2 linked regions of the Arabidopsis thaliana genome follow. The protein of the gene in region 2 binds, or shares a complex with, the protein of the main gene of each other region. Each region holds a gene or a part of one and is shown on either strand. Other genes may lie near its edges. The genes, in order: MYC3 and JAZ10. A codon is read from its position in the direction of its gene.

The links.
Region 1: the proteins of JAZ10 (region 2) and MYC3 are in contact, whole or in part, in a crystal structure (PDB 5T0F), measured with the Arabidopsis thaliana proteins. Residues at the interface, in NP_568287.1 of Arabidopsis thaliana: Arg34, Ser35, Phe36, Arg37, Ile39, Gln40, Gly41, Ala42, Ile43, Ser44, Ile46, Pro48, Ile50, Ile51, Lys52, Leu54, Leu55, Ser57; in NP_199488.1 of Arabidopsis thaliana: Gln53 (codon at 3,017), Trp92 (codon at 2,900), Asp94 (codon at 2,894), Gly95 (codon at 2,891), Tyr96 (codon at 2,888), Tyr97 (codon at 2,885), Lys98 (codon at 2,882), Gly99 (codon at 2,879), Glu100 (codon at 2,876), His117 (codon at 2,825), Arg120 (codon at 2,816), Val121 (codon at 2,813), Ile122 (codon at 2,810), Glu124 (codon at 2,804), Leu125 (codon at 2,801), Asn126 (codon at 2,798), Leu128 (codon at 2,792), Ile129 (codon at 2,789), Ser130 (codon at 2,786), Glu142 (codon at 2,750), Glu148 (codon at 2,732), Trp149 (codon at 2,729), Phe151 (codon at 2,723), Leu152 (codon at 2,720), Val153 (codon at 2,717), Met155 (codon at 2,711), Thr156 (codon at 2,708).

Annotation. Positions count from the first base shown.
Region 1 is NC_003076.8:18,972,519-18,977,403, reverse strand, and holds MYC3 (Basic helix-loop-helix (bHLH) DNA-binding family protein), read right to left. Parts: upstream 3,383-4,885; 5' UTR 3,174-3,382; coding exon 1,395-3,173; 3' UTR 814-1,394; downstream 1-813. UniProt on the Arabidopsis thaliana protein: Transcription factor involved in tryptophan, jasmonic acid (JA) and other stress-responsive gene regulation. With MYC2 and MYC4, controls additively subsets of JA-dependent responses.
Region 2 is NC_003076.8:4,216,843-4,221,719, reverse strand, and holds JAZ10 (jasmonate-zim-domain protein 10), read right to left. Parts: upstream 2,893-4,877; 5' UTR 2,720-2,892; coding exon 2,608-2,719; intron 2,531-2,607; coding exon 2,036-2,530; coding exon of another isoform or gene 2,031-2,035; exon of another isoform or gene 1,786-2,030; coding exon 1,724-1,785; coding exon of another isoform or gene 1,681-1,723; 3' UTR 1,258-1,680; coding exon of another isoform or gene 1,218-1,257; 3' UTR 807-1,217; downstream 1-806. UniProt on the Arabidopsis thaliana protein: Repressor of jasmonate (JA) responses. Interacts with and suppresses RHD6 and RSL1 transcription factor activities to negatively regulate jasmonate-stimulated root hair development.

The sequences.
Region 1 (4,885 bases), about 15 Mb from region 2:
TAGTTAGTAATATGTTTCTTGTTTTATTTTAGTAAAAGACTAACGAGAACTAATCTAATTTTAGTGAAAAGTGTATATTTGTAAATTCGATTTTGGGTAACACACACGTTGCATGTGTAAGTAGGGATATCGCCTCACACGTTAATTAACAACTATAACCTTCATAGAAATGAGAGAGTTTTCTGTCTTTGGTCGTTGGTTATAATCAAAGACAAATTTTGTAAGAATTAACAATAGTTGTTGTCATATATATTTTCATTACAAAATTATAGTGTGAACGAATGAGTGAACAACTATTTAATATACATATACCTAAGATAGATGAAAGATGGCTATAATTTTCTAACATCCTTTAAAGAGGAGGGGTCAACTTTATGGTACTACATGAAAAGTATTTTTCAATTTATTATGAAAACTTAAGTTGGTGGTTTTTAATTAGAACTCATCAATGGTGGAGAAAAGTAGCTTATTGGCAACTTTCATTGTTGATTATGCAGTAAATGTTCTTCATGTTTGCAGAAAATCAAATGCCTTCACATTTTGGTTTAAACAAAAATTTGAGACTAAACCTACTAGCAAATTTTCGGATTTAAATTCAAATTGTGATACTACAAACTCAGTTCCAAAAAGAATATTCGGAAAATCTTGATTTTTGCGGTATATATGTTACTAAACTACTTAAAGACTAGTCGTTACTAATGTACACAAGACTATAAGAATTAAGAAACATAGGTAGATCACACGGCTCTCTAAACATAGAGATATACTCAAACTCACACATAAGATAAGATAAGATAGGCACTAAAAGACTTCCTACTCATTACTTAAAACTAACAAATCTTTGGTTTAACTTTTAGTTTCTTTTACAAACAAATCACACATGTCTCCACATTTTTGGCATTATAAACAGTTTCCTCATACCCCCTTACAAAGATAAGAGCACTATCTCTAGGCAAAACCCATTTACAACCACTTATTTTCCTCAGCTTTTTGGTACACTACAGTTCATAAATTTGGACCTTTATGTACACTACAAAGTTACAAACTAACAAAAAAATTCAATCATAGAATAAAAAAACTTCAATAGAATTTAGGATCTCACTTAATCTTACTCCATACATATATATACATACAAGTACAACCAAAGATTTTATTATTTCGCTAACTCTCTCTGGTCTTCTAGTCTCCAACTTCCTTCTCACTTAAGGCTTATGATAACACTAAGCTAAGAACTAAGCAAGTTCTCCTAATGAACAACAACATTTAACAACATGAAGCGAGTGATGCAAAATGAGTACTTACTACTTTACAAAAGACCATACATTACCCGCTAAATTCGATCCCATTTCATCGATGAAAACACTAGTTTCCCCTCTTTGATATGCCAACTTTGTTCAATAGTTTTCTCCGACTTTCGTCATCAAAGCAACTTTGAGCTGGTCATGATTGAAAAATTGGCTCCCCATCTTCACCGTAGCTTGTTGAATCATCAAATCATTCACAACGGATAAACTCGCATGATTCACTTCCAAATCCAATTCCTTAAGTGCTTCCATGAACCTAGCACCGGGATGATCTTTCTTGCCGCATTGTACACGTATCATCACATCCCAACCTATGATCTTAACATCAATCTCCATTTCTATAGAACTCGCCGTAGAATCTTGATTCGAACTTTTCCGTTCTTTTGCCCTTGACCCGCAACCTTTCCCATTATTCCCTTCCTTACTCATCCCATCTAGCTTCTTCTGAATCTCCTCTTTATCAGACTCCGCTTGCTGCAGCTTCGACTTAAGCTCATTGATATACGAAATCGCGTCTCCGAGAAGCGAAGCTTTATCCATCTTCGAAACGTTAGGAACAACAGCTCTCAAAGAGTAGAATCTCTGGTTTAACTTCTCTCTTCTCTGCCTCTCTGCTTCAACATGATTCAACGGCTCTTCTCTCCCATTCGCCGGTTTCCTCCCCCGTTTCCTCGGCTTCTTCTCCGGTGGCTCAACAACAATCGCTTCCTTAACAACAGATGCTTCAAGATCAGAATGATCCGAATCATTCGCAGCTGATCTAACCACAGTACTAAACGAAAGCATCCCTTCATCATTATTACTCCCTTTAGATACCGAAGTTCTCTTCTTACTACTCTCATTACCACAGAAACTCAAAGTCTCATTAGATTTCAACAACCCACCTTGAAAGGTCAAATCTTTCTCGACAAGACACGAACTTTGACGATTCTGATTCTCTACAGAGCTAATATCATTCTTCTCAAGCTTAGAAATTTGATGAGAATCAGACTTAGAATTAGAATTCGAGTTATTACCATTATTAACCCTCGCCGGAGATTCGATTCCGGTGTTCGTCGGTTCACTAATCCACAAAGCTGGATCATTCTCTCCTTGATCTGGATTCAGATTAAAACCCCACGAAGAAGCTTCAACACCATTGTTTCCACCACCGTTGTTGAAATTAAACAAGTTGTTAACTTTATGCATCAGATCTGAGCTTTGACTTATAACCTCCGACGAACCAAGCTCAACGACGCCGTTTTGAGTCGCGATACACACCATCGTCTTTAACCCGTAAATCTGACCTTGACCCGCTCTTTCACAACCCGACCCGGTTAAAGCACCAGACCCGGATAACCAAATCACACGAGAGTTTAAGAAAGATTCTCCGGGGAGACCAACACCGTTAACGAAGCTTTGAGTCATCGAAACTAAGAAGAACCATTCAGTATCTGTTACTTCTTCATCGTTTGATTCATCGGAAACCCCAATTCCGCCGGAGATTAACGAGTTAAGCTCACGTATTACTCTTTTCCGATGCTCTTGCTCCGCCGTGTTGGTGTTGTTCTTCTTCTTCTCTTTATCTTCCTCTCCTTTGTAGTAACCATCTCCCCAGCCGAGGATCACTGTGTTATCTCCGGTGGATGAATCGAAGTCGTGTGAGATCTGCCAGAAGATAGCGTAAGTCCAGTTTTCTCCGGCGGATTCTATTAAAGCTTGGAGACGTTGTTGAAGAGTATCTTCGTTGAACTGAGGCTGAGGTGGTTGTTGTGGTGGTGGAGGAAAGAGAGATGAGTGGTGGTTTGTTCCAATGAAAGCTTCCATAGCCGCCGCCGACGCGTCATCGTCGGAGGTCAAGAAGTTGATTGATGATGTTGTGCCGTTCATGTGAACATACGCCGGTTGAAAAGGTGATATTTTCCGGTGAAAGGTGAAGACTTTTTTCCGGTGAGAAGAAGAGAGAGGTGACGTGTAGGGAGGAAAAATCAAAAGAGGGAAAAAGCTAAGCAAATGGCGTTTAGTGATTGTTTGGAGAAGATGATTCTCTCTACAATACTATATTTTATTTTTATTGTTTTTCTAAAACAATTGTAAATAATTTTTTCTTATTTTCTTAAGTTTTTGTTGAGAGTTGCGACATATTATATGACAAAAACCAAACGATAATAATTTGGTTAACTGTTACGAAAACGTAAATAAATTATTCATGGAGTGATAATTCTCGTTTGGACACTGTTTTGTCTGAAACATAACTTAGATCCGTTTATTATCACATAGCCACTTATTGTTTTATGGAGAAAAAACTAATAAATAATCCATTTATGGTGATATAGTGACTTAGAGTTTCGAATATGGACCAATGCTATAATTCAAAATTTCATAAGTTAGAAATCTAAAATATAAATTTTATTTTTCATATAAATTAATATTTTAAACTGCAAAAAAGAATTGCATTTTTAAAAGGAAAAAAATAGATTCTACTCAATTTATATCAATTAAGTTAGGAATTTAAAATAATATTTCAACTGATTTTATGTTAGTTATAGGAAAATAAATATATATGAAAAAACTAAAAGTGTTTTCTTTCTCCAATCATCTTTTTTTTTTAAATATCATTTCATTATGTTCATTTTATTAAAAATCAGTTTGAACCGTTAATATGAAATTTACGTTTTCAAATAATTATCCGGTGTAAATTTTTTTTTGGTGTAATGGTTAACTAAATATCCATTAATACTTCATCACACCATATATGAAGTTTGATTTTCATAGATTACAAATTATTGAAGATTAATGGAAACGATTTCTATCTAGAGATTTTAGTGTGGTGCATAGAACCGTATGTCGTAGTACAGTACCATCTGTCAAACTGTAAAATTGTACAAGCATCGATGTAAAACTATCGGTTGTGGAGTTGACTACGAAAACCATAAAAAGAAAACTCAAAAAATGATTTGCTAGTCCTAAAAATTATTTGTAATATATATTCAAATAATAATGTATCCAACAACATAGCAACTTCCGTTCAATTTTTGAAAGAGGAAGAAATTAACGTATAAAATTTGTATTTTCTCTATAAAATTCATATTCGAATTTATTTTTTCTTAGACATTTTAAATTGTTTTTTTCTTTTTTTAAATATTGGAATTATGTTGTGTAGCCCACTTTAATTGTTTGGGTCCTCTGTCTAGGCATCGTCTGTCTGCTTTCCATGTTTCTGTCACCATAATTGACATATCTATTTATTAACAATCTTCATATTTTTGTCACGGTATACTGTAAGTTTTCTTTAACCACATTTTTTTCATCAAATTTTTTATCGTTTGGCTAAAACTATAATGACCAACCAAAGTATATAATTTTTTAAAACGTTACATATGATTTTTTTGTCAAAGTTACACATGATTATTGACAAAGAACTACACATGATAATGCCAACCATTACTTATAAACAAAATATCCAGAAAAAAAAAGAAAGAAGAAGAAAAGTAGTCAGTGAAAAGGACAACATGTACAATAATATTCAATGGTTAATCACGATGGCTAAAATGATCCAGCTCACGTGATTCTCGTGGATGATGTAATTACAAAACGACTTT
Region 2 (4,877 bases):
GATGTTTCATTCTATTGGAATGATTTGGCCGAATGCTATGTAAATAGCTGGTTGATATATTAGATTTTTTCCAGACGAACAGGATAAACTGTTGGTGTTGGACCAAATCGAATCAAATAATTAATTTGAATTACTCGTGATGAATCAAAGATATTAGGATTGGCTTATGCAGTCAACTTGACCAAAGCCAAACACTTGACTAATCTGAATCTGAATCTAAACCAAACATCTGAATCAGAGCTACTAATTAAAACTTGATATACGGTATTCCATCTTCAAAGCTTAAACAACATGATGTAAGTTTAGTACTCTCATTAGCCATTGCAATGTGCAAACTAAGTTTATGTCATCGCAGTAGATTAAATGAGAAGCAATTTACTTGACACAACTTAAAGAGACACGAAAACATTTTTAAGAAACTACATGTAATAAAAAAACTCTCACGTATGCACATGGTGGTATTTATTTCATATCAATAAGCTACAGTATCTTGGTTTCAATGATAAAGAAGACGCAGTGAATGGTTGTGTGGTTTTTGTTTCTTAAATCCGGACCAGCCATCCCTTTTTTGTTAGTACTAGTGATGGATACTATTCAATGAAAGGGGTAATTGTCTAAAAGAAGCCACACAAAGTACGTTCACTTTACCACTTCTTTTCATCTTCATTCCAATGTACAAATTCCACCAAACTCATGTTAAAAGACTTTTGACATAAAGACACAATTAGTCGGGTAGACTTGATAGTATTATATAACTAATACTCACGTGTTTCTTAAACTGTTTTCCATTATAACAATTAGGACAACCCAAGCTAGAGACCAACCAATATAATCAAAGATGAATGGCCACATTTCCTTTAATAATACTCTGATACGGAAGCTTCATGAGAAGCTAAAAGAGGCGTGTTATAATTTTCTTTACCATATACTAAAAAATAAAACAAAAGTAGAAGGTCACGGGATAAGAGAGAGCTTCTTAAATCAAGCTATCAATGACAATAAAGATAATAGACATTTTTAAAAACAAACCAATATATATAATCTTAGTAGGTAACGTAATCTCCTAAAAACGTTTGTCGTGAATAGTATACGATTTAGCAACGACGAAGAAGGCTTCAAAAGAAGATTGGAAATAAGCCAAATCCAAAAACGAACATGGATGTCTTCCGATTGAAAAAGACAAATTTGGTCCATGTCCCAATCTAAAAAGAGATCGTTTAGGCCGATGTCGGATAGTAAGGAGATGTTGATACTAATCTGCAAACACAACAAGACGAAAAAGAAAATGTGAAACCGCGTTTTGTGATAACTTATATAATATACAGATCTTTCTTTGGCCGTATGGTCTGATAAAAGTAAAAGTTCAAATTTTTTTCCGGTGTTTCTCCTCGTTTTCTCATCATTTTGAAAAATATAACTTGTCGGTGTAGCAAACAGAACTAGAGTCAAAGACTCAAAGTCAACGCGCTTTTTAAAAGTTCCATTACAATAGTAACCTACGTATACCGATATTACTACTGATCTCCATTATCTATCTACGTATAAGCATGTGCGTTGTTGAACAAAACTAGTTGAATCTTAAGTTGTATGTGAGAGTAAAAGAGGCAGGACCCATAATTACTATCTTAAATAACTTATAGTAAAAAAAAGGTCGAGAGAGAGAAAAATAAAAACCTTTCTTTAATTATTTGGGGGTAAAAATCCTTGGATTGTTGAAGAATCATTACCTCTCCTTGCGCTTCTCGAGAAAACGTTGCAGTGACTTTCTCCTTGCGATGGGAAGATCTGCATACACACGCATAAACCAGTTTCTTATCAGAAATTAAACAACATGTTTATACTTTTATTAATAACGTATATTAATACGTATAGACATAAACTATAGTCTTTAACTCTTTGATATCTAATTCCAAACTAATTAGCAACCAATTCCTCTCTAACAACAAACTCTTCTTAGATCTCTACATGCAATAATATGTAACTAAAATTCTAGAAGAATCCAGCACTAAGTGATTTTTATTTTTATTATACTAACCTCCTTCTAGATTCTGGCCAAAGAGCTTTGGTCTTAGAGTGGTCGGAAGAATTACCGAAAGATCTGTCTCCATCGACGACTCGTCTTTCTTAGATGCTGCTTCATTAGCGACCTTCATAATTTCACCAGCTTTGTTACGAGACACTTGGAAAACTGAAACACTTCCATTGTAGAAAATCGTCATAGGAACAGTTCCCGAAACGAGTTCGGTACTAGACCTGAGGAAAATGAATGTTTTGAAAATTTGAATTTCAAATTTTTTCGTCTTTTCTGGTAGCGCCAAAAAAGTTAGAAAGAAAAAAAAAACTTTACCGGAAAGACAAAAATACCTGGCGAGAGACGCGTGGACCGGAGAAATCGGGATCTGAGGCTGATCTTCCCTCGGAGTAGACGGAACCGAACGAGATTTAGCCGATGAATCGGAATTGTTTCCAGTGGAAGCTAACAGCGATTTGATAATCTCCGGATCGATTTTCGAAATCGCACCTTGAATATCTGCAGGAGTTCCATATGAATAAATTCGATTTATCGCAAGAAAAAAAAAAGAGAGAGCGACTAAAAACCAAACGAACCTCGGAAACTACGACGGCGATCGAGAAATTTCTGGAACTTAGGCTTAGGAGCGTTGTTGGTTTGTTTCTTCTCAAGTCCGAGGAAATCGAGTTCTATGGTAGCTTTCGACATCTTCTTTGATCTTATTAGAAAGTGAGAGAGAGATCAAGACAGAGAGATATGGGTTTTGAGATGAATAAATGGAGGAATAATAACGGATTCTGATTTCTCATGTGAGAGTTTTTAAAATGTAGTATGTCTCTGATACTTATTTAACGCACGAGGTTCATGCTTTCTCTTTCTTTTCGGCACAATTGGCAACCTATCCACTTTTTCCTTTTTGTTTTGTTTTTATTAGGCTCCCAACCTCTTCTCTTACTTATCTAATTAATTTAATGATTCAAAACACATGTTTAAATTCTTAATATACCTAATGTAATGTAATTGCTTGCTACGCAGAAAGAAGATATTTTATATCCGGAAATAACGGAAGTCCAATGAACATTGTAATGTTTTATAAAAATATATCTTCAAAAATTTGGTAACATGTTTCTGTTACTGTTCGTCACATTGGGTTCTTCTGACATTATATTTGTTTTCTACTCTAGTCTCTGATCTGTATATTTTTCTCGAAACATGTTTTTCTTTTCCATTTTTTCTTAATATGAATTTTAATCTTGCTACTACTAGCTCTACTAGTATAGCAAATCACATTTAGTAGATATCAGTCTTATTGATTTTTCAATATAAACAAAATTTGACATTACTATTCAAGAATAATATTTGGTTGACCTAATAATACAACTGAAATTTCTTACATTTCTAAACTAAAGTACACCAATAAACTTTCATCATATTTGGGAAAGTAACCAATAAAACATACAAATAGGGATTTTAGAACAATAAAATGTTGGTGGTGATTCACAGTTAGTGTTTTGAAAGAAGAAGAAAAAATAAGATTTTCAAATCCATTCAAAAAAAGATTTAAAGAAAACACCACTGCAGATGCATAAAGACTAGGTCAAGTCGGAACTTGGAAGTTTGTTTTCTGCCAAACCAGAAAAGACGGGTCGATCCTTTGGACGATGTCGATGGTTTTTCTTTTCTTTTCTTAGTTTCACATTTTGGCTGGTGTTTTTTTTTCACATGTGGCCGCTCTTTTTCTTGTTCTCTTGTTTAAAGCATATGTGGCTGCTCGTTTCCTAACAGATTTACATATTATTACATTGTTCTCAAGTAAAGTTATAGAGGGATTCAATGAACTCACGTTTTTCTTTCTTGTGAAAATATACCTTGAACCACTTCCGAATTAAATTGACCTCAATTTTCTATCTTGTGCTCAAATTTAAACTTCACCTTATTCTATCGCGCGCATGTTAGCTTAATTAGTTACATTTCTCCTTTTTACTATTTTAAATTAAAAATCATATAACTACAAAATGTAGTGATTACGAAAAGTAATTTTTTTAATTAATATTCTGAACTAATCAAATATTAAAAAAGAATTACGTATAAAAAACTTTTTTAGTAGTATATATTTGATGCCGAAAGTGAAAGTTTTTTTTTTTTTTTTTTCTTGGCAACCGAAAGTGAAAGAGTTAGATGCATGTCTTTCACGTGTTGGGAGCTGTAGTAGTAGTAGTTAATGTCAATACATATCATTATTCACTAGGCTAAGGTGCACTTCTCGATAAGTCTTTAGAGGTTTTCGTCGCTCTCTTTCATCTTCTCACGTTCCAGAGTCAATACGCCTTATTTATTCTTTTTCTTCCGATTATTTTTATTTGTGTTATCACACGTTTTGTCAGTGCTGCCGATTTTTAATGTCGATGTATTTTTCAAGCTGACTAATTTGCCCCTCTGTCCACCTTTCATATACGACCTTACCCTTCTTTTGGCCTTTAATCTCAGAAACACATATTTAACATTTTCAAATTTTTTGAATCGAATCTTGAAACGAAATATGAGAACACTAATGTATAGTGGATTTATTATATTGGATTTAACATGTATAGTGGATTCATCATTACTGTATTATCTATATTTTTTTTCTTGCATAAAACTAAATGGCCGAAACTTTAAGTCGTTTACAGCCCACACTAGTTAGTACCCTTACATAAGAATATAATTGAACCTATAGTTGAAAAGCCCCTTAAGGTAGTAAACCCATTTAGAGAAGAAAAGCCCATTTGAAGAAGTAAATCTGTAAATGAAACGGTTGTTCTTGTTGTCGTTCATTTCCAATACCATCCATAGTTTGCGTAAGGTTTGCTCGCCAAAGTCGTCGGAT